4 linked regions of the Saccharomyces cerevisiae S288C genome follow. The protein of the gene in region 4 interacts with the protein of the main gene of each other region in a pairwise test. Each region holds a gene or a part of one and is shown on either strand. Other genes may lie near its edges.

What was found.
Region 1: the proteins of APP1 (region 4) and BZZ1 interact in binary tests that used the Saccharomyces cerevisiae proteins (3 or more experiments, as listed by UniProt).
Region 2: the proteins of APP1 (region 4) and YSC84 interact in binary tests that used the Saccharomyces cerevisiae proteins (3 or more experiments, as listed by UniProt).
Region 3: the proteins of APP1 (region 4) and LSB3 interact in binary tests that used the Saccharomyces cerevisiae proteins (3 or more experiments, as listed by UniProt).

What each region holds. Positions count from the first base shown.
Region 1 is NC_001140.6:334,846-340,484, reverse strand, and holds BZZ1 (Bzz1p), read right to left. Parts: upstream 2,403-5,639; coding exon 501-2,402; downstream 1-500. Other genes in the region: ubiquitin-conjugating protein DMA1, read left to right, coding at 1-376; APE4 (aspartyl aminopeptidase), read right to left, coding at 2,676-4,148; YHR112C (putative cystathionine beta-lyase), read left to right, coding at 4,822-5,639. UniProt on the Saccharomyces cerevisiae protein: Plays a role in endocytosis and trafficking to the vacuole. Functions with type I myosins to restore polarity of the actin cytoskeleton after NaCl stress.
Region 2 is NC_001140.6:133,296-141,095, reverse strand, and holds YSC84 (Ysc84p), read left to right. Parts: upstream 1-2,640; coding exon 2,641-2,687; intron 2,688-2,855; coding exon 2,856-4,215; downstream 4,216-7,800. Other genes in the region: argininosuccinate lyase ARG4, read left to right, coding at 1-1,085; YSC83 (Ysc83p), read right to left, coding at 1,245-2,402; MIP6 (Mip6p), read right to left, coding at 4,563-6,542. UniProt on the Saccharomyces cerevisiae protein: Essential for the organization of the actin cytoskeleton, fluid phase endocytosis and vesicle trafficking, together with LSB5.
Region 3 is NC_001138.5:197,375-205,431, forward strand, and holds LSB3 (Lsb3p), read right to left. Parts: upstream 6,060-8,057; coding exon 6,013-6,059; intron 5,919-6,012; coding exon 4,586-5,918; downstream 1-4,585. Other genes in the region: ROG3 (Rog3p), read left to right, coding at 1-1,660; PES4 (Pes4p), read left to right, coding at 2,500-4,335; HIS2 (histidinol-phosphatase), read right to left, coding at 6,369-7,376.
Region 4 is NC_001146.8:443,405-451,427, forward strand, and holds APP1 (phosphatidate phosphatase APP1), read left to right. Parts: upstream 1-4,206; coding exon 4,207-5,970; downstream 5,971-8,023. Other genes in the region: 40S ribosomal protein eS7 RPS7B, read right to left, coding at 1-422, 768-911; YNL095C (uncharacterized protein), read right to left, coding at 1,508-3,436; Rab family GTPase YPT53, read left to right, coding at 6,464-7,126; YNL092W (S-adenosylmethionine-dependent methyltransferase), read left to right, coding at 7,467-8,023. UniProt on the Saccharomyces cerevisiae protein: Mg(2+)-dependent phosphatidate (PA) phosphatase which catalyzes the dephosphorylation of PA to yield diacylglycerol. May play a role in vesicular trafficking through its PAP activity at cortical actin patches.

The sequences.
Region 1 (5,639 bases), on a different chromosome or scaffold from region 4:
ATTGAACAAGTCTTGGAAATTAAAGGCCAATGCATTTAATAAAGAAGCCTTGAGCCGAATAAAAAATCTACAGAAACTAACTACTGGTTTAGAACAAGAAGACTGTTCCATTTGTCTAAACAAAATAAAACCTTGCCAAGCCATTTTTATATCACCATGTGCCCATAGTTGGCATTTTCATTGTGTAAGAAGATTGGTTATTATGAATTATCCTCAATTCATGTGTCCGAACTGTAGGACAAACTGTGATTTGGAGACTACCTTGGAATCCGAATCTGAATCCGAATTCGAAAACGAGGACGAAGATGAGCCAGACATTGAAATGGATATAGACATGGAAATAAATAACAATTTAGGTGTTCGCCTAGTAGATTGATCACATGAAATTTTGTGCTATATATATATATATATATATATATATATATAACATAGAGTCGTCATACCTCTCAAAAAAGTGGCGGCCAGGGAAAATATTTAATAGTTTCAGTTCATTCCTTCGTTCATTTACAGTAACTTGTAGGAAATAGACCTTTCAATCCGTCACATTCACCATATGTCCACCCGCTACCGTCATCGCCTCTGATAACAGTAATTATGTCCCCCGGATCAATTGAAATCTCATCATCTCCCTGTGCTTCGTAGGCATATATGGCCTCCATCGTCCTAACAGGTAGTGTACTCCTTCTTGGTGGTGGTACTTCTGGTGCAGGGCCTCTATCATTTGCTTTAACTGTAGCCGCGCTAGATATGCGAATATATGTGGTGGGTACAAGGCCGGTTTCCCCAGTGGTGTCGTTATTTATCTTAGTCCATCCAGAACCCGTATCGCGTGCAACCAAAGAGATTTTGTCTCCTGGCGTAATGGTGATTTCGTCATCATCCTTTTGTACGTATGCATACAACACTTTATTCTTGCCGTCATCACTGGAATTTTGTGTGGTCTTTTTTGTATTGTTGGTACTAGTGGTGCGTATAGAATTATTATCTGAATCTTCACCAGCGTTGTTAGGGGCAGAGCCTAGCCTAGTTCTTCTTGATGTGTTGAAGAGACTTGTTATATGCAAGGGTCCTCCGTTGCCATTACCAGTGCTCCCTCCACTCGAAGGCTTCGAGTCGACGTTCAGGATGTTGTGTTTGAACTTACTGAATATCCCGGATTTCTTCTTTGTTTTGGAAAGATCAATATTGTCTGTGGATAAATCGTATTCTTCAGGAACATTATTCTGAATACTTTCGATTTGAACTTCGGCTTGCAATTTTAATGTTTCGTGTGAGGTAAAGGGTGAAACGACATTTAAGTATTCCTTTAGTGTATCATAAAACTTAGTGGCATTGATATTATCTTCATTAGTTTTCATTTCGTGCTTTATCTTGTTCAAAGTAGACAGTTTGGATAACTCATTTTGAGTTTTATCTTGCAATGAATTGTAATCATTTTCTGCTTTTGCCAGTTTTATTCTCAAGTCTTCAACTTCCAACGACGAGGGAACAGCAAATTTTTCATCATCATGCCATACTGGAGATGGCTTATAGACAAAGTCTTGTGGTTCTTTCCAATTCTTTAGATTGTGCTTGATAAAGATGGCCGTGTTTAAAGAGGGTTTATTCTGCTTGACAACAGAATTTGCCGCCTGGAGTCTTTTGCTGACATTTGCACCCAGATCGTTCTCGACAGAAGCCGCCTTCAACCACAGATCATTTAAGAAAAGGGTCTTTGCCTCATTTACGTCTTGTAGAAGATCTAGCACTTCAGGAACATCTTGAAAATAGTATTTATCCTTAGTTCTATTTGCCTGGTTGATCTTGATTAAATATTCATTTTTACACTTGTTCATCTCCATTTCTTTTTCATCCAACTTCTTTTTATTTCTATCATTAGATGCCTTGGTATACCTATTTCTTGCCATTTCCATAGTGGAACAGGCTTCATCATAGTCCTTCTTCGCTTTTTCCAGTTCGTGGTAAATGTTATCCTTTTTATTAACCATGTCATTGTTAAATCCATTTATCTTGCTCAAAGTCATATCAAGTTTAGTGAATAATCCACTCAATTGATTTGCTACATGATTTTCAAAGTCGGTTGATAACTGATCATGATCCTTGGAAATCATATCAGTCTGAGATAGAATTTCATTCCATGCAACCACACCTGCAGCTTCAATGGACCCTGGCGTGGTAGTAGGTGTGTCACCTACCGAGATAGGAACTGAGGTCGAAGACTTCTTATTAAAGTACTCTGCTGATAAGCGAGATAATCTCTCGCTGTAGTCTTTTTCTAACTTAGCCCTTTCCCGATAAAATTGCTCAATGTCCTTCAACCATTTTAAGTTATTTTGGACCCATTTATGGGTTTCCTTAAATGAATCTTTAATTTCATTACCAATCGATAAATCTGCACTCATTTTTATTGCAAGTAATGTAGTAGTTGGCGTTTAAGGATAGATTTCCGCTCATACAAAATTGATCAATCTGCTACCTTCTTCAAAAACTATTTGCGTACAAACTAAATCTGTCTATTCCTTTGCTAAGCGTATATTCTTTTAAAAACTTTTTATTTTTCTGAAGACCCCGCGAAAGCTTATGTAGATCACAAGATATTATATATATTTACTATTTGTAAAATACAAAAGAGGGCAATAAATATACCGGATTATGAATCATCTAACAATTGCAGTTTAGACAACAATTTCAGATTCTATGGAAGTGTAGCGTTCAAAAAATTCCTTAAATAACTTGATTTGGAACTCCAGGTCTGCAGAGCCACCGGTCTCTCTAATCGAATGCATACTCAACACAGGATTACCCAAGTCTAGAGTTCTAATACCTGTCTTTGAGGCCAAAATGGGGCCGATGGTAGAACCGCATGGTGAGTCGTTAGCTACGACAAACAATTGCAAAGGGACTTTAGCAGCCTCTGCTAGTCTTTTCACCAAGACCAACCCTGGTGAATTGGTCATGTAACGTTGATTCGCGTTAATCTTGATTACGGGACCACCACCCAATAAGGGTTTGTGTTGGCTTTCGTATTTGTTTGCATAGTTTGGATGAACTGCATGAGCAACATCAGATGAAAGGAAAAACGACTTAGCGGAAGTTTCCAATATTGCCGAGTGAAACAAAGGTTTAGTTTGATCAGAACCGTCCCCCTTCAGGATGGACAACCTTTCCAATATATTAGGCAAGAAGTTAGAATCTGCCCCTTGGGCGGAGGATGAGCCAATCTCCTCATGATCAAAGCATGCCATCAATCTAATGCCTGATTCTCGGTCAATTTCTGTGTCAGCCGCCAACGTTAAACCGTGCATTGATGTGAAACAAGATGTCAAATTATCCAATCGACCAGAGAAGACAAACTCATCGTTGAACCCACCTAGAGTGGATGCATTATGATCATAAAGGATCAATTCGAAGTCTTCAATGTCTTCAATTGTATCAATGGCGAGTTCTTTGGCTATTAGCCCCAAAAGTTCTGCGTGATGCCTCTGTACTATCGTTTTTATGGAGGTAAACTCACCGTTATTAATTTCCTTTTCAGTTTTCGCTTCAGTTTTGTCTTCTTGCAGACCACCAATCGGCAACAGTTGAGTTTCTCTATTAAACTCGAATTTTTGATTTACGTCTCTGTCCAGATGAATAGCCAAAGTAGGAATCTTTAACAGAGGTCTATTCAAATCCACCAATCTAGCAATGGATTTGCCAGTTTTCGCATCCTTTACGAAAACTCTTCCGGCAACGCCCAAATCCTTATCAAACCATGAATGCCAAATAGCGCCACCATAAGTTTCCACGCCCACTTGTAAATACTTCTCACTGACTCTTTTAGAAATAGGCTTAATCCTTAATGCGGGGGAGTCGGTGTGAGCACCCGTAATGGCAATTGGATTACCAGGCTCCCACTTTCCACCAACAGCAAACGCAATAATGGAAGAGCCATTTCTTGTCACAAAGTACTTTCCTTTTTGTGCGACGTGGCCAGCCCACGAGTCACGTTCGCTCAACTCTTTGAAGCCATTTGACACCAGATGCTTTTTGATGTTATGAACTGTATGGTAAGGAGAGTGTGAGCTATTTAAGAAACTGACAAACTCCTTTGGGTAATCACTCTTGCATGTTTTGCTGGACATAGTTCTCAGTTGTATCCTGAACATAGAAAAGCTGAACCTTTTATTCTTTCTTTTTACCTACTTGCTCACATAACATGAATTTTTTCTTTCATTCATACAGGAGGAAAACGCCCTTTTTTCTTTCATTTAAGAGCGTGGAGATATCTGCAACTTTTCAGCAAGTATGATAAGGCTAAAATGATAAGGAATAGAAAACCGTAGCCAGAAACTAGTATCTCGAAAGCCAAGGCAGGCTTCTGTTGCAAAAATAAGCAGACCTTAAACTAAAGGAGTTTACTCCTTGGCGGAACACTGAATCACATTATATACGTAAGTTGAACGGGACTATTTATCACGTGTGATTATGTGGTCTCCATGTCAGTCGCAATATTTACAGTATATATAAGGGAAAGAGGGCCAGTTGTAATAATTGTAGTACGTGAAATAACTGTTTCTGAAGTCCTTCACATACGCTTTGGTACGGGATTAACCACTTACTGATAGACCTCAAGGATATCTTGTGAGTTCTTGTCAAATGGTGAAACTGTGGTTTCTATTTTTTTGCGGTGTTTAATTCAGAGTGCGATCACTTGATGGGTTTATGCAACACGCGATATATAAGCATATTGCGCAACAATAGATCGTTGCAATCCCTCCATCTCTTCAAATGTTGTAGTACATGCTATAAAGGAAAGATTGCACGAAAAGAGTACGTAAGATGGTGGACTTGTCAACAGCTTTGATTCATGGCGATGATAAAGATAACAGGGTTACTGACGTGGCGCCCCCAATTAATGTCTCTACAACCTTCCGTTACGACGATGACGACCTAATTCCATGGACAGAGCGTGAAAACTTGGACTTTATGGAGAAGAAGCCCGTATATTCACGGCTAGCGCATCCAAATAGCACCAGATTAGAGAGTATCTTCTCAGAGATCCTCGATGGTTATGCTGTCATTTATTCTTCAGGGTTAGCTGCGTTCTATGCGGCAATGGTACATTACAACCCTAAGAAGATCTTTATCGGACAGAGCTACCATGGTGTTCGAGCAATTGCTAACATATTGACCCGTAATTACGGCATTGAGCAACACCCCTTGGAAGATATTGAAAAATGTGCTTCTGAAGGTGACATTGTCCATCTGGAATCTCCTGTAAACCCATATGGTACCTCTTCTGATATCGAGAGTTTGGCCCGCAGAGCTCATGCAAAAGGCGCCCTGCTTATAGTGGATTCCACATTCGCATCTCCTCCATTGCAATACGCATGGAATTTCGGAGCCGATATTGTCCTATACTCTGCTACTAAGTACTTTGGTGGTCATTCTGACTTGTTAAGTGGCGTCCTTGTAGTCAAAGAGGAAGCAACTTCCCGACAACTAAAAGACGACAGAATCTACTTGGGTACAAACGTGGCAAATTTGGAAAGTTTCATGTTGTTGCGATCCCTGAGAACCTACGAAATGAGAATAACCAAACAATCAGAAAATGCTACGAAATTAGTTAGATTTTTGTCAGATCACCAATCTGAATT
Region 2 (7,800 bases), on a different chromosome or scaffold from region 4:
ATATTGCTGGTAAAGTCCACACCGGTAGATCCCGTAATGATCAAGTTGTTACCGATTTGAGAATATACTGTCGTGACATTGTCAATGACACCCTCTTTCCAGCTTTAAAGGGCTTGGTTGAAGTTCTAATTAAGAGGGCCGAAGGTGAGATAGATGTCTTAATGCCAGGCTACACACATTTACAAAGGGCACAACCTATTAGATGGTCTCATTGGTTGAGCTCTTATGCAACATACTTCACCGAAGATTACAAGAGACTGGGTCAAATACTACACAGATTGAATCAATCACCACTGGGTGCAGGCGCTCTTGCTGGTCATCCTTACGGCATTGATAGAGAATTTTTGGCTGAAGGTTTGGGTTTCAATAGTGTAATTGGTAACTCCTTGGTTGCTGTTTCTGATAGAGATTTCATCGTGGAGTTGATGTTTTGGGGAACTTTGTTCATGAACCATATTTCTCGTTTTGCTGAAGATTTGATTATATATTGTACAGCAGAATTTGGTTTCATACAGTTGAGCGACGCCTATTCAACAGGTTCTTCTTTAATGCCTCAGAAGAAGAATGCAGACTCGTTAGAGTTGTTAAGAGGTAAATCCGGTAGAGTATTTGGTGATCTGACAGGATTCTTGATGAGTTTGAAGGGTATCCCATCTACTTATGATAAAGACATGCAAGAAGACAAAGAGCCACTATTCGATTGCTTAACAACTGTAGAGCACTCCATGCTGATTGCCACAGGTGTTATTTCTACCTTAACTGTAAATAAGGAAAAGATGGAAGCTGCTCTCACGATGGATATGCTAGCTACCGACTTGGCAGATTACTTGGTCAGAAAGGGTGTTCCATTCAGAGAGACTCATCACATATCTGGTGAGTGTGTCGCTACTGCTGAAAGACTTGGTCTAAGCGGTATTGATAAATTAACCTTGGAGCAGTATCAAAAGATCGATTCGAGATTCGGACAAGATCTTTTTGAAACTTTTAACTTTGAACAAAGCGTTGAAAGACGAGATGCTACTGGTGGAACCGCTAAATCTGCTGTATTGAAGCAATTGGATAATTTGAAATCCCAATTAAATTAGCAGATGGCGACGTTATGCGCAAGAATTTCATCAGGTCTGGTACTTCTAGGACTTCATCAACCCTTCTTTAAATACTTATTTTGTTATTAGTATTATATTTTCGAGATTGTGCTATGTATATATATACGTAGATAAGCAATTGTTATCTAATCAAGGATATTATTTGGATGATTTAGAAGATGACCGGCAAAAAAACGAAATAATGCTGCTATATACCTTGGCTAATCTTCCTCTCAAGCGTTTCAGGGAAAGACGTGTGTGATGGTTGAATATAAGTGAAGCAAATGGCCATGAGACTAAATAACTAAAACGGCCGCAATAATACACACTATTGTAACCTCCCAAAGTCGTTAACCAACTTAGCAGTTGTCTTAGTTTATACCCATTCGCACTCATTATCATTTTGTAAACTGGATAATGTAGGGCCTCGTGAATGTCTGAACCGGCCATTCTCAAAAATTTATAGTTCGATGGTTGTGACCCAATCTGCAGGATTCCAAGCTTGATTGTGGAAACATTTAACCTTTGATATTCCTTGAAAATTTTAAATAGTGAGTCGATTATTCCAGACGTTATAATTTCTGTACTATGATGGACTAAGTTCAGGTCCGCAGTCAAAGATGGATTGAACATAATTAGTTGGGTTTTTCTCTTCAAATGGGGTATAATGCTTAATAATGCTTGATAATACACAAATATACTTGAATGAATTTCAGATTCCAATGAGTCACATGAAATTACTCCGGATGGATGATATGATAACCTTGGCATAAACAATATGGATGCTAGCCTTGGTACATCAACAAAAAAACCCTCGAAGTCTTTTTCGCAGGTGGGATCAATGTAATATATGAAATCCTGATCTTCTTCGTGCTTCTTATAGACGTCTGCATTTTCAGTACAAATATATACTGTAAACCGTCTGCGATATAAATCCATCACTTGATTCCTTATGATAGGATCATTCATATCGCCCAGTATTAATACCACTTGAGATTCTGCTTCAGGTAAATTAGGTGGCAGTTTAAAAAAGGTCCTATACCCAAGGTATAAGCACAGGGAGGTGGCAGAAATTCCCAAGCCTAGCTTCCAATGATCCTGGAGCCCGATCCTCAAAGTTTTATATACTTTAGATCTGTTACTGTCGTTTTCCTGTAGTCGAGGAGTCTCCTTGTTGGATATCTTTCCAGATATGGATTCAATTGATTTTTCGACGTGGTTCTTGATCTCATCGCTCAAGACAGCGCTTTTCGAGACGAGCCAATACCCAGCATCAAATATCTGATCCACTATATCCTTACCACCAGACCAAGCCATTTTTATTTGTTTTTTTGAGAGCAAATATCTTCTGTTGTCTGTTTTATATTTCCTGTTTGTATGCCACCTACAACATTTTTACATGTTCCGACGCTGACCGAAAACGACCTGAAGGGAATTAAAGTTGACTACCCCCTAACTAGACCCTGTTCTTAACATTATCTATAACATGAAACTATCTTACACTTCACAGTAAAATTTTCAAGAGTAGTGGTAATATCAAATCCAAAATCCAAAAATGGGTATCAATAATCCAATTCCTCGAAGCTTGAAAAGCGAGACCAAGTATGTTCATATATATGCTTCCTGCTGCCCCTCCTCTAAACTTATGGATGCAGCTAAAATGTTCAAGATAGCTCTCTAGTCTGTGTCCATTGCTTATGGGGCATGAGTTTTCAAAAGTAATGTACTAACAACTTTATGATTGATTTATTTCGAATGTTTTAACTACAGGAAGGCCGCGAAAGTTCTAAGGAGTTTTGTTAAACCAAATCAAGTATTTGGAGCAGACCAAGTTATTCCACCATATGTGCTAAAAAGAGCTAAAGGTCTAGCAATTATCACGGTTTTAAAGGCTGGCTTCTTGTTTTCAGGGAGAGCAGGTTCTGGGGTGATTGTGGCCAGGTTAAAAGACGGTACATGGTCGGCTCCCTCTGCTATCGCTATGGCAGGTGCTGGTGCAGGTGGTATGGTCGGCGTTGAATTGACAGATTTTGTTTTTATTTTAAATTCGGAAGAGGCAGTGAGGTCCTTTTCTGAATTTGGTACAATTACTTTAGGTGGTAATGTGTCAGTTTCCGCAGGTCCTCTTGGAAGAAGTGCAGAAGCTGCAGCTTCTGCATCCACAGGTGGTGTCTCGGCAGTTTTTGCCTATTCCAAAAGCAAAGGTTTATTTGCCGGTGTGTCTGTGGAAGGTTCAGCCATCTTGGAGAGAAGGGAAGCTAATCGAAAGTTTTACGGCGATAACTGTACATCAAAGATGATTTTGTCAGGTAGAGTAAAAGTTCCACCAGCAGCAGACCCCCTACTCCGTATCTTGGAATCAAGAGCGTTCAACTTTACACGCCACGACCATGATGACAACGCTAGCGGTGATGATTTTTATGATGACGGTCAATACAGCGACAACACAAGCCATTATTACGACGATATTCCAGATTCCTTTGATTCTACTGATGAATCCTCAACACGTCCAAACACAAGATCATCAAGAAGAAGAGGAATGTCGCTGGGGTCACGCAGTCGTTATGATGATGATTATGATGATGATGGTTACGGACGTGGTCGCGGGTATGGAGATTTTGATAGCGAAGATGAAGATTATGATTACGGAAGATCTCCAAATAGAAACAGCAGCCGCAATAGAGGCCCACAGATAGATAGGGGTACTAAGCCGCGTGCGAATACCCGATGGGAAGATGATTTGTATGATAGAGATACTGAATACTCCCGTCCCAACCATTCCGGTAGGGATTATGATAATACCCGAGGAAATAGGCGTGGTTATGGTAGAGAAAGGGGTTATAGCCTTGGTCATGGCCCAACTCACCCCAGCAATATGAGCAATGTCGATGATTTATCACATAAAATGTCGAAGACAGGGTTAGGTAATGAATCCACTGCTACAAATTCGGCGACACCAACGGCTGTTGCTCTCTACAATTTTGCTGGAGAACAACCAGGCGACTTGGCTTTCAAAAAAGGTGATGTTATTACTATCTTAAAAAAATCAGATTCTCAAAATGATTGGTGGACAGGCAGGACTAACGGAAAAGAAGGAATATTCCCTGCAAACTACGTTAGAGTTTCTTAAATTATCGTCCTCCATATGTCTCGTTCCTATATATAGAATTTTTTTTTAGAGTTATGAAGTTGAGGATGGGTTCCTTATTCAGCTATGTTTACGAAATGTTTGTAGTTATATAATCACAATGGAAAGCTTCGAGGAACCACTTCTTAAGTACTCACTTAGTAGGTGGAGTATTTCTTGAAACTGGACTATACGCCATTAAACTAAAAAAAAATCGAGGCTGAAACTCCTTGGAATAATTCTGGGTAGATTAAGATAGCAAAGAAAACAATACTCTATTTTTATAGACATACGTACTTTTGTACCGAAAATTGCATATTGATGAACCTGCCTTCTTCCTTTAAAAGGAATCAAACTGTAAATCCGAGGCTTTCAGCAGCTCTAGTGACTTGTTTTTGTAGAATTTTCTGTGATTCTAATGAAGTATTTGTCATTAATAAAAAGTGCGATAGCCTTTCTGAGTCATGCTCCCAAAATACGTCAAAAATAAACTCGGAAATGCTGCGCAGATTTTCTTCTTTATTTAAACCAGAAATACTTATACGTTGTAAATTTCTGTTTATAATTTTTTTTAAGGACTCAAGTATTTCTGCATTCTCCTGTTTAGTTCTCTTAGGCTGATGCAGTTTTTCGTCAACAGTATTTGTAATTAAATTAAATGCTGGATGAGGTTTCATCGGCGTAGCTACGAGAGAGTTCATGTTTGTGTAGGAATTTGAATATGATGAGAATGGGGAAACTACTTGTTGAAACTGTGACGTTAATCCCTTTTGATGAGCTGATAACTCTTGTGTGCGGAAACGCATCATGGAACTAATGTTGATTAATTTCTTATAATTTTCATTGTTGTTACCATCGTCATAGTCTATCTCATTTAGTATATTATCATTATTCTTTGACCATGATGCCTCAACCAAACTACTTCCAATTAGTCTCCTATCCAAAATATTAAATAATCTCTCAGCATCACTACGAGAAAAACACTCAACATGTCCACAAAATGTCCAATTTAATGAGTTATAGTTTGTGATCTTAATTTCACTGAATCTTATTTTTTCTTGTAAACATAGTTGAGAAATAAACTCCTTATTGCAATTGAAGCTTAAATTTTTTAGATAAACCTTTGTTTTCTTGTTCGTTCCAATTTGATTATGAACAGGCTTATCTTTACCAGGACCAACCCAAATGGTATGGTTTTTAAAAATTGTTTTATTCAAACATTTCTGTGCCTTTTTAGATTCTTCTTCATTTTTATATGTGACGAACGCTTTATGTGGTGTGTTCGCCTGCTTTTCAGAGATGAATACAGATTTTATGGGGCCAATAGTGCTGAAGTAATCCAAGACCTCTTCTTGTGTTGTGTCAGATGGTAAATTTTTGACTAATATTGTTTTCGAACGAGCATTATCTGATAAATTATTGCTAGCCAATAGTTCGTCTTCGATAACTATGTCGGAGCCAATCATTTTTTTTCTTTTTGTAAATTCAGGTCTAGTTCTTACTTCTTTGTCAAAATGCAATCCACATATAATTTTATTTCCAAAAAATTCTTGGTTATTGTATTTTTTGATTACATTTCTAGCAGAAATATCGTTATCGAAATAAACGAACCCAATGTTTTTTCTTCTTTCTAGAAGACATGACAGTACATTTCCGTACTCGATCATTATTAGATAAAATGATCTTGTGGTCAGTTGGGGATTTTCCAGTGGTAAGTTAGAGAAAAAAACATTTGTTCCGATGTTTTTTCTAAATAATGTATTTTTCATAGATGGCATTATTTTAACTTCTTGACCAAAAAAAACCGTATAATTAAATTCTTTCCTTGCAGATTCTGCATCGTTTTTATCCTTGAAATTCAAATAGCCATAACCCAATGATTTTTTGGTGAGAAAATCACGACACACTTTAGCAGATTCAAAAGATTGATACCTTTTGAATATCTTCCTTAGCATTTCTTCAGTGACAGTTGATTTCAGATTTCCTATAAACAAACTATTTGTCTTTGAAGTTTTCGTGATATATTTTTGCACGCTTCCCTTTGCAACAGTTTTTTCAAATACTTGCTCTTGTTCTTTCTTTTCTTGAGTTGCATTTTTACAATCGTATTTTTTGAGGCTATTCTTTTCTTTGACTTCAGCATCCTTTAATTTCACATCACCGAGCTTATATCCAGCTCCTTGCACGCGTACTAGTGCTTGGGCTGATATCGTTTTGAAGCTTTTCTGCCTTGCATCTTTATCATTTGGGCAACTTTTAGAAATCGATCTGGGATTTTGCTTGCTATTTAAAGAGATATTATTCAATACATTACCATGAGAGTTTGGCATCTTTTTTTAGGGAATTTTTCGTATTTCTGCTTTTATTGACTTGGATAATTCATTATGTTAAGTAAGCTCTAATTGCTAAAAATGCCATAAAAAGAAAACTTATTGGAAAAGGACCGCCATTTCGAACGGAATTTGTGACACAAGTTCATTTTAGCAAAAAAAGGTCCTACCCGGATTCGAACCGGGGTTGTCCGGATCAAAACCGAAAGTGATAACCACTACACTATAGGACCGGAACTTACTGGTCGATCTGAAAATCATGATCGAATACGTCATCCTTGCATTACCCAAAATCAATCAATTTTTAATGAAATACATCAAATTTTGATTGTTGTTATGAAACTTCAAAATATCATCCGTTTATTAGTACTCACGCTACTAGTTTATTGTCAAATAAGTTGTAAGAAGATGGCATAAACATTGAGAAACAGTCATCAATTCTAATGAAAGCAGAAATGCAAGGATTGACAATGTAATAGGGTAATGAAAAATATAGAACGGAAGGAGAAATAATCATAATAACCTTATGTCGAAATACAGATTCTGAGAATTAGGTGAATTTTGAGATAATTGTTGGGATTCCATTTTTGATAAAGGCTATTATATTAGGTATACACAATATACTAGAAGTTCTCCTCGAGGATTTAGGAATCCTCAAAATGGAATCTATATTTCTACAACCTAATATTACGATTATTCCTCATTCCGTTTTATATGTTTCATTATCTTATTACATTATCAATCCTTGCACTTCAGCTTCCTCTAACTTCGATGACAGCTTCTCATAACTTATTTCATCATCTAACACCGTATATGATAATATATTGATAGTATAATTATTGGTTGATAGACGATAGTGGATTTTTAATTACATTTTGAGGATTCTTATGTTCTGGTGGATAACTACTAGTATATTCTGCATAGCTGATATCATAGCCTTCACCAACAAGGAAATCGCAACAATCATTAAATCATTCACTCAATATTCATAATCAATGGATGATGTTAAATTCTTATTTTAACATTTAGTTTGTGATTTCCGGTAAAAGGGTAGTGTTGTTTTTTTGAGAGCCTTTTCTGACGGACAAATGGTCGCAGGAAATATAAATTTATATTTAGTAATACGCAATCGCATACACATAAAAGAAGCCGAAATATTTTATCAAATACAATAGAAGCTAAAAGCAAGAATTGATAATGTAATAGGATAAAGTAATATAGTTATGGAGATTTATCGACGCCTTTTTGTGGATTCCAA
Region 3 (8,057 bases), on a different chromosome or scaffold from region 4:
GCCAAATTGCTTCGTGACATATAGCATGGAATCCGTTATTGAACGCAGCAAAAATTATAGTGATTTGATCTGTAGGAAAAATATTAGAGTTCTGAGAACCATTTCACCCGCAGCAGTGGAGTTATCAGAAACTGTTTGTGTAGATAACTCATGGCCCGACAAAGTGGATTATTCTATTTCAGTACCCAACAAAGCCGTAGCTATTGGTTCAGCCACCCCTATAAATATTTCCATTGTACCTCTTTCGAAAGGTTTGAAATTGGGCTCAATCAAAGTCGTATTATTTGAGAATTATCAATATTGTGACCCCTTCCCTCCAGTAATTTCTGAAAATAGGCAAGTGACAGAACTAAATCTTGAAGATCCCTTGAACGAGTCATCTGGAGAATTTAATGGTAATGGTTGCTTTGTAAATAACCCCTTTTTTCAGCCTGATCATTCATTCCAAGACAAGTGGGAGATTGATACCATCCTGCAAATCCCGAACAGCTTATCAAACTGTGTGCAAGATTGTGATGTCCGCTCTAACATTAAGGTTCGCCATAAGCTCAAATTTTTCATCATCCTAATTAACCCAGATGGTCATAAATCTGAGTTAAGAGCGTCCTTACCGATTCAACTTTTTATTTCACCATTTGTGGCACTTTCAATAAAACCATTGTCATCCTCGAATTTGTATTCGCTTTTTAGCACCACTAACCAGAAAGACGAAAACTCATCACAAGAAGAGGAAGAGGAATATCTGTTTTCTAGATCAGCATCAGTCACAGGGTTGGAATTATTAGCGGATATGCGTAGCGGTGGCTCTGTTCCTACCATTTCAGACTTGATGACGCCCCCAAATTATGAAATGCACGTATATGATCGTCTTTATAGCGGTTCTTTCACTCGCACGGCTGTGGAAACGTCTGGAACATGTACTCCTTTGGGAAGCGAATGTTCGACTGTCGAGGATCAGCAACAGGATTTAGAAGATTTACGTATACGGTTGACAAAAATTAGAAATCAACGTGACAATCTAGGGCTACCACCGTCTGCCTCGTCTGCTGCCGCTTCCAGATCGCTATCTCCATTACTAAACGTTCCAGCACCAGAGGATGGCACGGAGAGAATCTTACCTCAGAGTGCTCTTGGTCCCAATAGTGGCTCTGTGCCAGGAGTACATAGTAACGTATCACCTGTTTTACTTTCAAGATCCCCAGCCCCAAGCGTGTCAGCCCATGAAGTGTTACCAGTGCCCTCGGGCTTAAATTATCCAGAGACTCAAAACCTGAACAAGGTTCCATCGTATGGCAAGGCAATGAAATATGATATCATTGGTGAGGACCTTCCTCCTTCCTACCCTTGTGCGATACAAAATGTGCAACCAAGAAAACCCAGTAGGGTACATTCCAGGAACTCTTCGACAACATTGTCATCTTCTATACCAACTAGCTTTCATTCCTCTAGTTTTATGAGTAGCACTGCTTCCCCTATTTCCATAATTAATGGCTCTAGAAGTAGTTCTAGTGGGGTATCTCTTAATACACTTAATGAGTTAACTTCGAAAACTTCGAATAACCCATCCAGTAATAGTATGAAAAGGTCACCAACAAGACGGAGGGCTACTTCTTTAGCTGGGTTTATGGGAGGTTTTCTATCAAAGGGTAACAAACGATAGTCGCCGATATTGTTTCGGCTCGTGCATTAAGCTTGTATAGTTTCATATAGAAAGTGATGTATATAGCATTTACGCACTCTAACTGGCATTTTAAAGAAAAAGGGATAAATGCAATGTTTGGCGTGCGGCAGTATAAGTTCAAAAAAATCCACTGCATTGTTGAAAAGAGTCAGGTCGATCCTGCTATTGGTTTTCAGTTTGAGGGATCCTTTGATTTGCTAGATATCATAAGATAAATGGTCCACCATAAAGTAATTAAATCTTGAAATTAAATTCTTATTCCATTAGAGACAGAGAAACTATTCATTGTACATTCTCCAAATGTGGTGATATAAACACTACATTCGCTAAATTACATTATATTATTTCGAGCTTTGTCTTGTTTATATTTAGTTACGTTGGGATCAAGTTTTAAAAAACTAGATCTGGAGTGACCAAAAAAAAAATACCCAGCGTAAGGTAAATATTATGGATATGCTTTGGAAGAAAAGAATTTTGAGACTTACACATTATTCGGCACAGTAGGTACTAGAAAGCATAGAATCACATTCGCCTTTAAAGACATTCTTTTTTCTTGCTCCTTCTATGGACTGCGACACAATAGTTGTTTTTGTGTCGTACCGAAGAAAAAGCCTTGTGCAGAAAGCAAAAATAGTACACTTCTAGCCTTGATTACCAAGAGTTATGACAAAAATTTGCAGTTCAGAGTATACCTTAAAAACTGTTCCTAAGGTCAAATAAAGAGGAAAATAATCAAACTAATTATTCATTAATTGAACGAACCAATAATAACGAGAGAATCAGTATCACAAAAAAAATTTCAACCTACAAGAGGAAACATGTATTCTATTTCAAACAAAAAACCTTCTATACTCAGTATGGTTCCCCTGAATATTTTGAAAAACCAGGATTTGAAAGTAAAAAAAGATCAAGAAAAGAAAATATCATTTAACCCCGTAGTTACTCCTATTAGGCCAGACGACTACCACGAAAAAACATCCAGATCGTCAAGTTCGAGCCATTCTGATTCACCTGAATTTTTGAGAATTAACAACAACAAATCCGGTCACAAGAATGGAAAATTGAAAAGTTTTGAAAGTAAAAAACTAGTTCCGCTATTCATTGGTGACCTCCATGAAACAGTTACTGAAGAAACTTTAAAAGGGATCTTCAAAAAATATCCCTCTTTTGTCTCTGCTAAAGTTTGTCTTGATTCAGTGACAAAAAAATCACTGGGCCATGGTTACTTAAATTTTGAAGACAAAGAAGAAGCTGAAAAGGCTATGGAAGAATTAAATTACACGAAGGTTAATGGTAAAGAAATTAGGATTATGCCATCATTGAGGAATACAACGTTTAGAAAGAATTTCGGCACTAATGTCTTTTTCTCTAATCTACCTCTAAATAATCCATTATTAACAACAAGAGTATTCTATGATACGTTTTCTAGATATGGTAAAATTCTATCATGCAAATTAGACTCTAGGAAAGATATAGGATTTGTTTACTTTGAGGACGAAAAAACTGCGAGAAATGTGATCAAAATGTACAATAATACCAGTTTTTTTGGTAAGAAAATTCTATGTGGAATACATTTTGATAAAGAGGTCAGAAGTGTTCCAAATTTTGAAACACAAAAATCACGATTAGATGCGGAAACAATTATTGAAAAAGAGCAATCTTTGAATGAGAAACACTCCAAGGGGAATGATAAGGAATCTAAAAATATTTACTCTTCATCCCAAAATTCTATATTCATCAAAAACCTTCCAACAATAACTACAAGGGATGATATTTTAAATTTCTTCAGTGAAGTGGGTCCAATTAAGTCAATTTATCTATCCAATGCCACTAAAGTTAAATATCTTTGGGCATTTGTTACATATAAAAATAGCAGTGACTCAGAAAAGGCAATTAAACGCTACAATAATTTTTATTTCAGAGGTAAAAAGCTTTTAGTAACCAGGGCACAGGATAAAGAAGAAAGAGCCAAATTTATAGAATCTCAAAAAATATCTACACTTTTCCTGGAAAATTTAAGCGCTGTCTGCAATAAGGAATTTCTTAAATATTTATGTCACCAAGAAAATATTAGACCGTTCAAGATTCAGATAGATGGATATGACGAAAATTCTTCTACATATTCTGGGTTCATCAAATTCAGGAATTTTGAAGATGCTACGAGAATATTTAACTTTTTGAATAACCGTTTAGTAGGAGGAAGCATCGTCACGACATCTTGGGAAAGACAAAATAATGCACCTAAATATCATGATGGTTATGGAATGCGCAATATACACACCTCTTCTCATCCACAAATTACCCCATATTACCAGTACTCACATGCGAATAGTTTGAACTCCCCACACATGAGAGATCTTTCGTCAATGAATAGCAGCACAAGATCACTAATAAAGAATAAAAATTTCAATAAGAAAGTTTTGGAAACATTCGAAAAGCAAGTAAGAAGAGGTATAGATTTCATGAGATTTCCAAGTGCCACTAGAGACGAAAATGTGCACGGAATAGCTGAGTATATATTCGACACTTATTGGAATCGCGATGTGTTAATATTGGACAAATTTTTATCGTTGCTAAATAGTAGTCCATATCATGAAGGTGTATTGCAAAAACAAATTGAAGAGGCTGCAAGCTCGTTAGGATTTAAAAGATGAATGTCTCTTTGTTAATTTAGCTAGAGTTTTCCTTATTTATTTTTTTTATTTACACTAATTCAATCTTTTTCGTTATATTTAGATATTATTAAAAATTATTATTATGGAAAAAATTCTTAAAAGGATAGACAGAGGGACGCCGTCTGCTATATGATATGTATTTAGGTCCGAGTGCTGATAAACTGTAAGGCAAAAGGTATAAGTGTAAATCAATAACGTTTCTCGTATTCTTTACTCTCCTTCAAATTTTTTAAACTAGTTCAACGTAATTTGCTGGGAATATACCTTCTCTACCGTTGACTCTTCCGGTCCACCAGTCATTTTGAGAATCTGATTTTTTCAAAATTGTGATCACGTCACCCTTTCTGAATGGTAAATCTCCGGACTCTTCTCCTGCAAAGCTATATAATGCCACGGCCTTTGGAGAAGACGTGGATGGGGATGTTGGAGCAGTGAATCTGCCCTGACTAGTTTGCGGTGTTGAAGCGGACGAGATTCTAGATTTAGAAAATCTGTTCGACAAGTCATCGACTTCACGGTCTTTTGTCCTATCTCTTCCATTCCCGCGTCTATACCCGGATTCATAATCATCATCATAATCATCGTATTCATCATCAGCCCAACGATTTCTTGAAGAACGAGCCCTTGACTGAGCAGTTCCTGATCTTCTGTGGCTGGCATAATAACTTGAAGCTCCAGATGGGTCATCCAATTTACCACCACTACCGCCACTGTTGGTAGGAGCCAGTCTTGAATTCCTTGAATAGCCAGTACCATAATCATCATCGTCATCATCATCGTCGAACGTATAACGAGAACCGCTTTGGGCTCTTCTCCTTGTGGATCTTGTGTTAGGTCTAGTGGAGGAAGCATCTGTAGAACTGAATGAACTAGGAATGTCATTATAGTAATCGTCGTCGTCATAGTAATCGTCTTCGTCGTCATCGAAACTGCCACGACCACCGTTGGAGGGTCTGTAATTAAACGCCCTGGACTCTAAAACACGAAACAATGGATCAACTGCTGGAGGCGGTCTTATCCTACCAGACAAAATCATTTTCGCGGTACAATTGTCACCATAAAATTTTCTGTTAGCCTCTCTTCTTTCTATAATAGCCGAACCTTCCACAGAAACCCCTGCAAATAGACCTTTACTCTTAGAATAGGCAAAAACTGCAGCCACACCACCGGCGGAGGCTGATGCAGCTGCTTCTGCACTTCTACCAAGAGGCCCAGCAGAAACGGAGACGTTACCACCCAACGTGATGGTCCCAAATTCAGAAAACGACTTAACAGCATCCTGAGTATTTAAAATGAAAACAAAATCAGTCAATTCTATACCAACCATCCCACCGGCACCAGCACCTGCCATGGCAATGGCAGATGGAGCTGACCAAGTACCATCCTTTAATCTTGCGACAATCACACCAGAACCAGCTCTACCTGAAAATAGAAAACCTGCTTTTAAGATCGTTATGATAGCCAACCCTTTAGCTCTTTTCAAAACGTCTGGAGGAATGACTTGGTCCGCACCAAAAACTTGGTTTGGTTTGACAAAACTAGCCAAAATCTTCGCTGCTTTTCTTTATTAATTGTTTATTACTAGTTAGTAAATGATGAACAAATTAAGGGAGAACTTTTTTAAAGGTTTCCCAGCCAAACCCGTATAAAACATACTTTGTCTCACTCTTTAAACTCCTTGGAATAGGATTGTTAATACCCATTGCGTGTGATACAGCTTTTGTTTTTGATTTCTTTGCCACCCGTGATCCAAAGCCGTTCTAGATTTCTTCGATAGTTTATACTCTTTCATGTTGAACTTCCAGATGCGGCCGAGTCGGCGAGCAAACAGGGTGCTGCTACTAAACGAACAATAAAGAAAGACAATTTGGGCACCCAATATAAAATGAGCAGTCAATTCAATCAATTCAGTGTGAAATTTTTTTCTTGGAAAGATCATTCACTTCTACACAGCTGTACATGAGTTTATATGACAGTTTTTTTTTATGTACATCCAGTTCAAGATAATCAGATTATATATTGGCCCAAAAGGGATCATTAACGAATTGCGAAATGGGTAATCTCTTTACAGTTAACAGATTCTCTGGTGATTGGCTTTCCTCAAGGTAGCAAATATACTCTAATTGTAGCACGTCTACTATGTATTTCTTTACCTTGTCATAGCACACACCCACTTGCGCCACGCCGTGTGCGTCATCACTTAGAACAAATCTGGATCCACAGTGCTTCTTGACCAGATTACATAAGGTTTTGCTGGGGTACGGCTCCTCGAGGCGCTTTCTTAATGCGGACGTATTGATTTCAATTGCGCCGCCATAGGAGTCTATAAATTGTAAATTTCTTACAACTGCATCGTATATTTCTGGCCATTCACTGATGACGTCCAGTGAAGCTACAGGAACTCCGGTTTCTTCGTTGCAGTTGCCCGATTTCTGGTTTACTAGCATGTCATTGGGCAAAAATAATTTGTAAAGGTCGAAGTGACCCACGACCAACGGTTTAATATTGATCAGCATTTCGTACTGTGATTGGAAGTAAGACAGGAGAAAATGTTTCAAATTATCATTGAAGGAATGCAATGAATTGTACCATTGTTGTTGGTCGAAATCAATAGGGATCCCGTTGACGTGATGGACCGAACCCACACAAAACTTCAAAATATCATTATTCTCCTTCATGAGTCGCTTTGCATATTCGATATGAGCCATGTCACAACTTTCGATCTCCATTCCTATAATGAATTTAGTCCGCACATCGGGTCTATCAGCATAACGAGTCTTGATTTCTTGCGCATGACTCATGAAATTCTTGAACGATGTTTCTAGCTTGGTTATGACTTCCTCAGGATTCTTGCCCAATGACTGCTCTTCGGGGTATATAAACTTGGCCTCAATTCTTGGTATGTGCTCTGTCAAACAGTACGTGTGAAAGTTGAGGTTGACCACTTGATCGACCACGGAATCCAAAGGGTCCGTACCGTGGGCACTATAGTCACCGGAGTGTGAATGGTGTGAGTGCATGACCTCGAGGATTTTTACTGAATTGTACGTATCAAGAAGTACTAAAATGTGTTTGAAAGGGAAAGATTGTACGGGAAATGGAAAATGTACATATAATATCCAGTATCATTTGAGTTGATAGAGATTATCTCTATAGATAGAGAGATTTGACAAAAAAAATAAAAAAATTTAAATGGACGAGTCCGGAATCGAACCGGAGACCTCTCCCATGCTAAGGGAGCGCGCTACCGACTACGCCACACGCCCGAACGTTTGTTGAAATCTTCCAAACAGAAATGATACAGGTTTACTTTACAGCAAGACATTAGTAGTTTCATTAGCTTATCAACATGTATGAAACCGGCAAGATTGAAAGCTTGATTGCCCTTGACGAGCTACTCAAATGTGTAAATATCTGCACAATCAGTTTACACTCATGTTTCCGCGCTTTTACCCTCCATCTAGATTAAAATCTTATATGGATTATTTGGGATAAATAGCATTTAGTAAATCAAATTGATAAAAAAAAGAATAGCATTTAGGTATGCAGAATATACTAGAAGCTGTCCTCACTGATCCTGAATCCAAAAAAGAGAATTCTACGTAATAATATTATCACCTCTTCCTCCATTTTATATGCTGTCATTCATTATCCTATTCCATTACCAATCCTTGCATTTCAGCCTCCATTAAATCCGATGG
Region 4 (8,023 bases):
GTCTGGCTTGGAATTTCAAAAACAATTTGTTTGCCAGTCAACTTGTTGTAGACAGCTTGGAAAGATTCCAACTTGTAGTCGATTTGTTGAACATCCTTGGAGTCTAACAAAACCTTTTGGATCTTGTTACCACCAACCAAATATCTAACTCTTTTACCGACAATTTCAGTTGGGAAAACCATGTCTTCCAAAACCTTGTCGTGAACAGCAGTCAAAGTTCTGGATCTTGGTCTCTTTTGGACTTGTCTAGATGTTCTAGATGGTTTTGGCAAGATTCTTCTTTCAGCCAAGAAAATAACATGACGGTCAGGGAATTTCTTTTCCAATTCACGGGTCAATTTGGTTTGGACCTTATGGTATGCAGACAAAGCTGGAACTGGGACAAAAAGGACTAGTGCTTTCTTACCACCGGTGACATCAATCTAAACAATAAGAATCAAGCAGCGTTGAAATAAAGTTAGTAACTGAATTGGTTCATTCATAACAAAAAAGGGTTTGTGATTCTTCTCCTTGGGGTAAGGTCTTTTTCGCGTGCTTCTATTTTATTCATCGATATTGGTACTGACCAAGGAGGCCTTTATAGTTCAAAGGCTCATCGCAACGTTCATGGTATTGACAGCTCTCGGAATTACTATTTTTCTCGAACACATGAAAATTTCATACAGATACTGCTCAAAATCACTCTTTTTTGAAAAAATTACTGCAAAGAACCCCTTTAGAAGAAATCACAATGTTGCTGCTTCCAAATTATATAACTTTTAACATACTTCTCTGATAGATTTGATTTGCAATGGTCTCAAGTCAGCCTTTAGTTCTGGAGAGGAGCTTTCTAGATCGATGAAGGTCTTGGCGACTTGTAATTCCAACTCACTTGGAGCTTGGGATAAGATCTTGGATTGGACAGAGGACATTGGTCAGTTATGTGTCTAGTCTTTAGTGTGTTGGTTTCTCTTCTGTTTGTATATACAAAGTCAAATAACACATATTTTAACCATAATCAATAGCATTTGGTATTTCCCCCTCCGCGTATTATGAACGCCTAGTGAGCCCATTCTTCCCTAAAGCCAGGCTGGAAACCCAAACTGTGTGGAACGTGACTGAATTGCATTTGGTGAGTTACCAAGCAAAGGCTCGCAGGCTTGAACCACATTTTACCAGGGCGCTCGCTTTTTCCGAAATATTGAAATTAAGCAAAACAATAATGTACGGATTTAAAGAGGTACGGATGGAGACCGTAGAAAATTGACTTTTTTTTTTTTTTTGTTATTTTCTGTGCCTTTCGTAACTACTACTATGCAGAATGACAGGTAGTTGTTGTTTCGAATTGCTACTTTCACGCATTCAACTTGATCAACATTTCTCTCTGATGAAAGGTTGTGGAAAGTTTGGTCGTGTCTATAAGTAGGTGTTTTTTATTAGTTCTATATAAAAATGGAGAATGTTAATTTTAACCCACCCTAAAACAGTGATTAGGAGTGGTAATAATTTTTTGTTTAATGGATTAAAACTAAAGGTTCATCTGTACTTTCAGAAAGTAAGACACTAAAAATGGCAAGCTAACAACCATTAGCGGGTATTGCAGCATTAAGAAAAATGAAACACACTCCATTTGGATTGGCGCAGTTGTTTCTGGCGGCGTAAAACTGGCGGTGAAATATATAAGGGTAGTCATCGTTGGCAAGTTCCAGCTGATTGCTATAACAAATAGTAGCATTCTATCATCTTGCCAATTAACCCATCCAGCTTTCACTAACCGATCACACCATAGGACACCAAAAATTGGCATGACACATTGTCTCAAAATGACGAGTGTCACAGCGGCTTTCCAAAATCCAGGATAAAGGTTGCCAATCTTTAATCTTCCTAAAGTTGCTCCTAATAATATCAACCCAAATGGAACACATGCGGCACCGACATAACCTGTAAAATCCATGAAAAAGCTTAATGGTGGTGCATTGTCAGGAGCTTGGCTTATGTGAGGAGTATTAGCGGTAGTCACGAACAAAGCCTTGACCCATGGGATAAATGCAACAGTTAGGGCGATGATCACGGCCATAGAGCACGGTCTCAAACAATTCTTTAGGAAAAACACAAGTAATGGAGTTAATGAAAATTTTCTCATCCACTGTGGTAATGATTCGCCGGATGTTTCAATATCCTTTTTACTTACAGTGGCATCTGATGTTAAGATCCTGGTTAGGTTAGCAGTTTTTATAGTCTGTAAAGTGGAATTTGAGCTAATTGAATGCACATCATTCATATCAGCGCCGCGTAAACTGGAATTCCTCCTTTGATGACCATACTGGTCAACGTTGGAGTACTCTCTGATAAGATGGTGTATATTTTGAGAAGGTAATGCACGCATATCAATGGAGCGGATAGGTTCCAATGCCGCCATAGACATATTTTTTGGGCATTTTTCATCTAAACAGTTCTCTTCTAGGAGTGTGGTAGTATTGTAAGCTCTCGGCTGGCTCGCGGTTCTACGTGCTCTCATAGTATCTATGCTACTCTCATAACTCTCTGACGTATTATAAGAATGTATTGTTGAAGCAGATGATTGGCTATCTAATGGATTTGAACCACGAGTTGCCTGTGACTCTTCGCTTTGAGTGCACGCAATAGTATTTCTTGCCTTCACCTGAACTGGTTTTGTAATCTTTGAATTCGAAGAAGTGTCTGGTAGTGACAGGGGAGCTATACTATTTGTTGATCTCCTTGAAATTGGTGGTACGTCTGCGTTTTCACCCTTTGTACCTATAGCTTCAGTGAGACTATCGCGAGCGGTGTACTTATTGTTGAAAAGCTGTTGTTCGTTTGAGAAGAAACGCTCGCTAGTATCTGTATTAGTTGTGTTTGCACTTACTGCGGGCTGTGTCTTTGTCGTTTCTGAAACCCTAACGGCGCTTTCATCGTCGTTGTACTCGAAATCGCTTTCAATCAGTCGAAACCCCCCCAAATTGAAAATGCAAATTAGAAACATTGTCAGAAATATAATGACGTTAGCCACACCTTTGTTACCTTCTTCTTCCGAAAATACAAGCCCTTGGTCCATAGATTGTAAATATGCAATTGGTAAATCACTTATATTTGGAAACATACCACCGGCAAGAATACCACCGTACCATTGTTTAGGAACAGGCAGGAATAGCCTAACAACGTATGCAAAAAAGAACCCAGAACCAAATATTAGGAGGGCAGACAGACAGATAATTCCCACAGATTTGATGTCTTTATCTTCAATATTAGCGACAATCTTGTTGAATGACAGAGAGGGTAGTAAAACTGTTAGCACGATATCAGAAATAATTCTTGTTGCTTCAACCGTAAGAATTCCCATTTTAGCCATCAGAAAGCCGACTCCTATAATCAAATAAATCTTGATTATCGGCTTAACTGACACCCATATCGCTTGACCCAGAGTAATGTGCACCATCTGATGAAAATTTGAGGTTTCAATCCCTTTCTCTGTTTGATTCTATAACTTCTCCAAAAAAATTGCGCTGACGCTAATTAGTCACTGTTTATATCTTTTTTAGCGATGATTTGTAACAATATGCCATAAAAGCGTTCTCTAACTGCGGAAGTGATGAGAATTGAATAGTTTTATTCAGAAGGCAATATATCCTAATATGGCACAAAAAGGCAACTTGTATGCACAAAATGAGCATAAGAGTTCAGGCAGAACGTTGTGCTCTTGATCCAAAGGTTAAAAGTCATCGAGTAGGAAGATATTGTAACCTTCGCGCAAACCGCAGCCGCAGCGGGTCACGTGGTCGCGCAAATGATGATGAGGGCGCGGTCTAACTTTCCAAACGAGGTTACCAACAATTCTCGGACAGATAAAGCATTAGAATAGGGTGGCAACGCCTTTACGGTTAGCTTGTTCATTGTGATTGGTTTGTGTATCTTTTCTTGGCTTTTTATGCCCACGAGACATAAAGTATACGAAGCTGTTATACTATTCGTGATCCAGGGCAAAAATTTAGCATCATTAAGGCATATATATCGCAAATAGTGGGTTGCACAAGGCTTTCAATAAACAGTGTCATATGTTTCTCTAGCTCTGTCGGTTTGTTGGCTATAAAGAGTTTGTCTAGTAATCGCCGTCTTTTCTTGGGACCATTAACACAGACAAGGACATTGAAACTTGGCTATAAGTTCCGTCAAAGGGGGAAAAAATTGCTTTGGAGAAGGAATAAAAAGATGAATAGTCAAGGTTACGATGAAAGCTCTTCCTCTACTGCTGCTACTAGCGGTCCTACTTCTGGAGACCCACGAATGGGTAAGAAACAACGGTTTATGAATCTCATAAGAACCACAAAGGATGTTTATATTCCTAACCTGACGTCATCCATTTCTCAAAAGACAATGGATGGCATCAGGAGCACTACGAATTCCTTCGAAGGTTATAATGACTTGCCTATGGAATTGCCACATAATACCACGATAACATATTTTCCAACGTATACCACAACTAATTTGGTTGACCCTGACGGTTTGAGTGCGCCTCGGAAAGATTTTGAAACTACTGTCAGATGTGCTGTTTCTTATCCAGGAAATCCTACAAGCAGGAGAAATAGGTGGTTGCTTTCTCTTTGTAAACAATATCTTAGAACTGGAACGGCGGAGGCCGATGTTGCACCTGTTGTTCCCCCTCATCTCGAAGAGGATTCTGGAGATTTAAACGACTCCCAATCAAGTATAGAAAGTTCTTTGTCTTCAAAGAGCGAAAATAGGTATTCACATATGGGCATCCAAGAGGAAGATGTTCTGAATGAGAGAATTCAAGGATTCCTGTCCAAAAAAGTTCCTAATACTCCAGTGGTGGTTGACCTATTGCCCAAAGATAAGCTCAGAGGGGATACGGCTTCCTTTTTTGGTACCACGGACTCTTATGGTAATTTACTAATCAAGGCAGAAACAGATTTTTTACCGTCCAAGATTAATATTACATTAGATACCCCTATAGAAGGCCATGCAGATCCCATATCTGAAACATTTCCGGCCAATTATGTCTCGCCCTACGGTATTGGTTTAATCAGTGATATTGACGACACCATCAAGCATACTGGCGTTACGGGTGACAGGAGATCGATGTTTCGTAATGTTTTCATCCATGATGTTCAATCGTGGGTAATAGATGGTGTTCCTCTTTGGTACAAAACTTTACATGATGTCGCAGACGTTGATTTCTTTTATGTTTCTAATTCACCCATCCAAACTTTTACTCTTTTGAAACAATATATTTGCGCCAATTTTCCTCCGGGTCCAATTTTTTTGAAACAATACTCTGGTAATTTCTTTTCCACTATCATGACTTCAAGTGCGAATAGAAAAATTCAGCCGATTGCAAATATCTTAAAGGATTTTCCCAAAAAAAAATTTATTTTGGTCGGTGATTCTGGTGAACATGACTTAGAAGCGTATACCACTACGGCTTTACAATTTCCGAACCAGATTCTGGCTATTTATATAAGATGTTGCTCTAATTCCATGAGTGATGTCCCATCGCATGATGAAGAAGTTATGAATGAAGTGAACAATATCATCGAATTACAACAACGGCCCATGCAAATGACCAAGTCTACCGTACGTACCAGGAGAAGACCACCACCACCTCCCATTCCTTCCACTCAAAAGCCATCGTTGACAGAAGAGCAAACCGAAAGTATAAGAATGTCACGCCGTAATAAAGATGAGAACAATGCTAAAAGAGTTGCCCCACCACCGTTGCCGAACAGACAGTTACCTAACTTAGACGCTAATACTTACTATGTACCATCCTCACAAAATGACTATGGCATGTATGGTGCTTTCATGGATAAAAAAGCAGATGAATGGAAGAGAAGAGTAATGGACTCAATTCAAAAATTGAGCAATCAAGACACCACATTGATGTTCTTTTCGGATCCGGCATTAAGTTTGGAAGACAGTATTCGCAGAATTAGGGAGAAGTATTCAAACTAAATACACTGTTATTTATATACATCGGGAGGGAGTTTAAAAATTGTATACACTAAAGTGACCTTATGAATTGGAGCCATTTTCAACGTTTTAGAGTGATGTTGCATCCTTTTCATCAGATCGGGAAATTAAAAAAACGGTTATAGAAGGGCTAAATGTAAATATGTAAATTTTATGAAGTCAAGAGTAAAGAAAATCTTCGGTTGCCGATCAAATACACTCTTACAAAATACCCTAAACTCAGTTTATCTTTCCATTCCAACTGATTATCGCGTACGCCTTGGTGACCAACCATACCCTAAAATGTCAATTTCCGGGGCGGAAGGGGTCCTTAAACTGCAAAGCCTCTTCCCATGTAAATAAAATAAATCCGTAGAATTTATTAAATATTGTCATATTATAAGTCGGGAAAGGCCTTCTGAATGCACGTATATTGACCAAATAGAGTTAGATTCAAATTATTTATTACATTTTTTCAGCATCGAAGTTAAGTAGAATGGATAAACATACAGCAGCTATTCCAACATTAACTATCAAAGTAGTCTTACTCGGAGAATCTGCTGTCGGGAAGTCCTCAATAGTCCTCAGGTTTGTATCTGACGATTTTAAAGAGAGCAAAGAACCTACTATTGGTGCCGCATTTTTAACAAAGAGAATTACAAGGGATGGCAAGGTCATTAAATTTGAAATATGGGATACGGCAGGCCAGGAGAGATTTGCTCCTTTAGCGCCTATGTACTACAGAAATGCTCAAGCTGCTTTGGTAGTTTTTGATGTTACTAATGAAGGGTCTTTTTATAAGGCTCAAAACTGGGTCGAAGAACTACACGAGAAGGTAGGACATGATATCGTTATTGCCTTGGTGGGGAACAAAATGGATTTGCTGAATAATGATGACGAGAATGAAAATAGGGCTATGAAAGCACCAGCTGTACAAAATCTCTGTGAAAGAGAGAACCTCTTATATTTCGAAGCAAGCGCTAAGACTGGTGAGAATATTTACCAGATATTTCAAACATTAGGCGAAAAAGTACCATGTCCTGAACAAAATACACGACAAAGCTCTACTCATGATCGCACAATTACCGATAATCAACGAATCGATCTCGAATCAACGACTGTAGAAAGTACTAGGGAGACTGGGGGTTGTAACTGCTAAACTGCAAGCAAAACAACAGCAAACGCGGCATATTCAGCGTCTTAGCGAAGCTTGCCATTGAAAAGAACAGTTCGTAACAACAGCTGGAAGAATAGTACTGGAAATTTTCAATTACTTTTGCAAAACAAGCACTTTTTTGTTTCACTTCCATTAGCCGCAAGAAATACACTTTTTTTAGGGGCGGGAATTTTCATCGCCAGATCGAGAATCACAAGGCCTTTACGTACTATAGTTTGTAATTTATACAAAATCAGCTACTGTTATTTTGGTGTACCAGCGGCAAAAATTGGTGAGGATCTGAAAATTAATTAGAGGTGAACACATATCAGTAATTTTGACTATGGACGAGAATGAATTTGATAATCAAAGGGAGAATAAAGCTGTAGCTCGAGTGATCATATCATTTCTTAAGTATGAAGAGTATGCCCTAAAGGAAATCTACAATTTGAGAGTGAAAAAATGGGCATCGATCTCAGATCGTCAAAAAGACATGGTACCAAACTATACAAAATATTTAGCTAATCTGAAAGCCGCAATTATAGAAAATGGCAAGTTCTTTAGAAGTGTCGCCGAATATGCCCTGCAATCAATAAGTTTTGAGCCAGGAGAAATCGTACAACCAAACGATTTAGATATGAGTAAAACATGCTCTTTACTTACGCAAGTTTATAGGGAGTGGTCCGCAGAGGCCATTTCTGAACGTAATTGCTTAAATTCGAGGCTTGTACCGTTTTTGAAGACCCTATCACCCCCAAAAGCCGACATTTTGATACCGGGTTGCGGCACAGGACGCCTTCTCGTGGATCTTAGCAGAATGGGCTATAATTGTGAAGGTAACGAATTTTCATATCACATGCTGCTTGTATCTCAATACATGTTGAATGCAGGATTACTCCA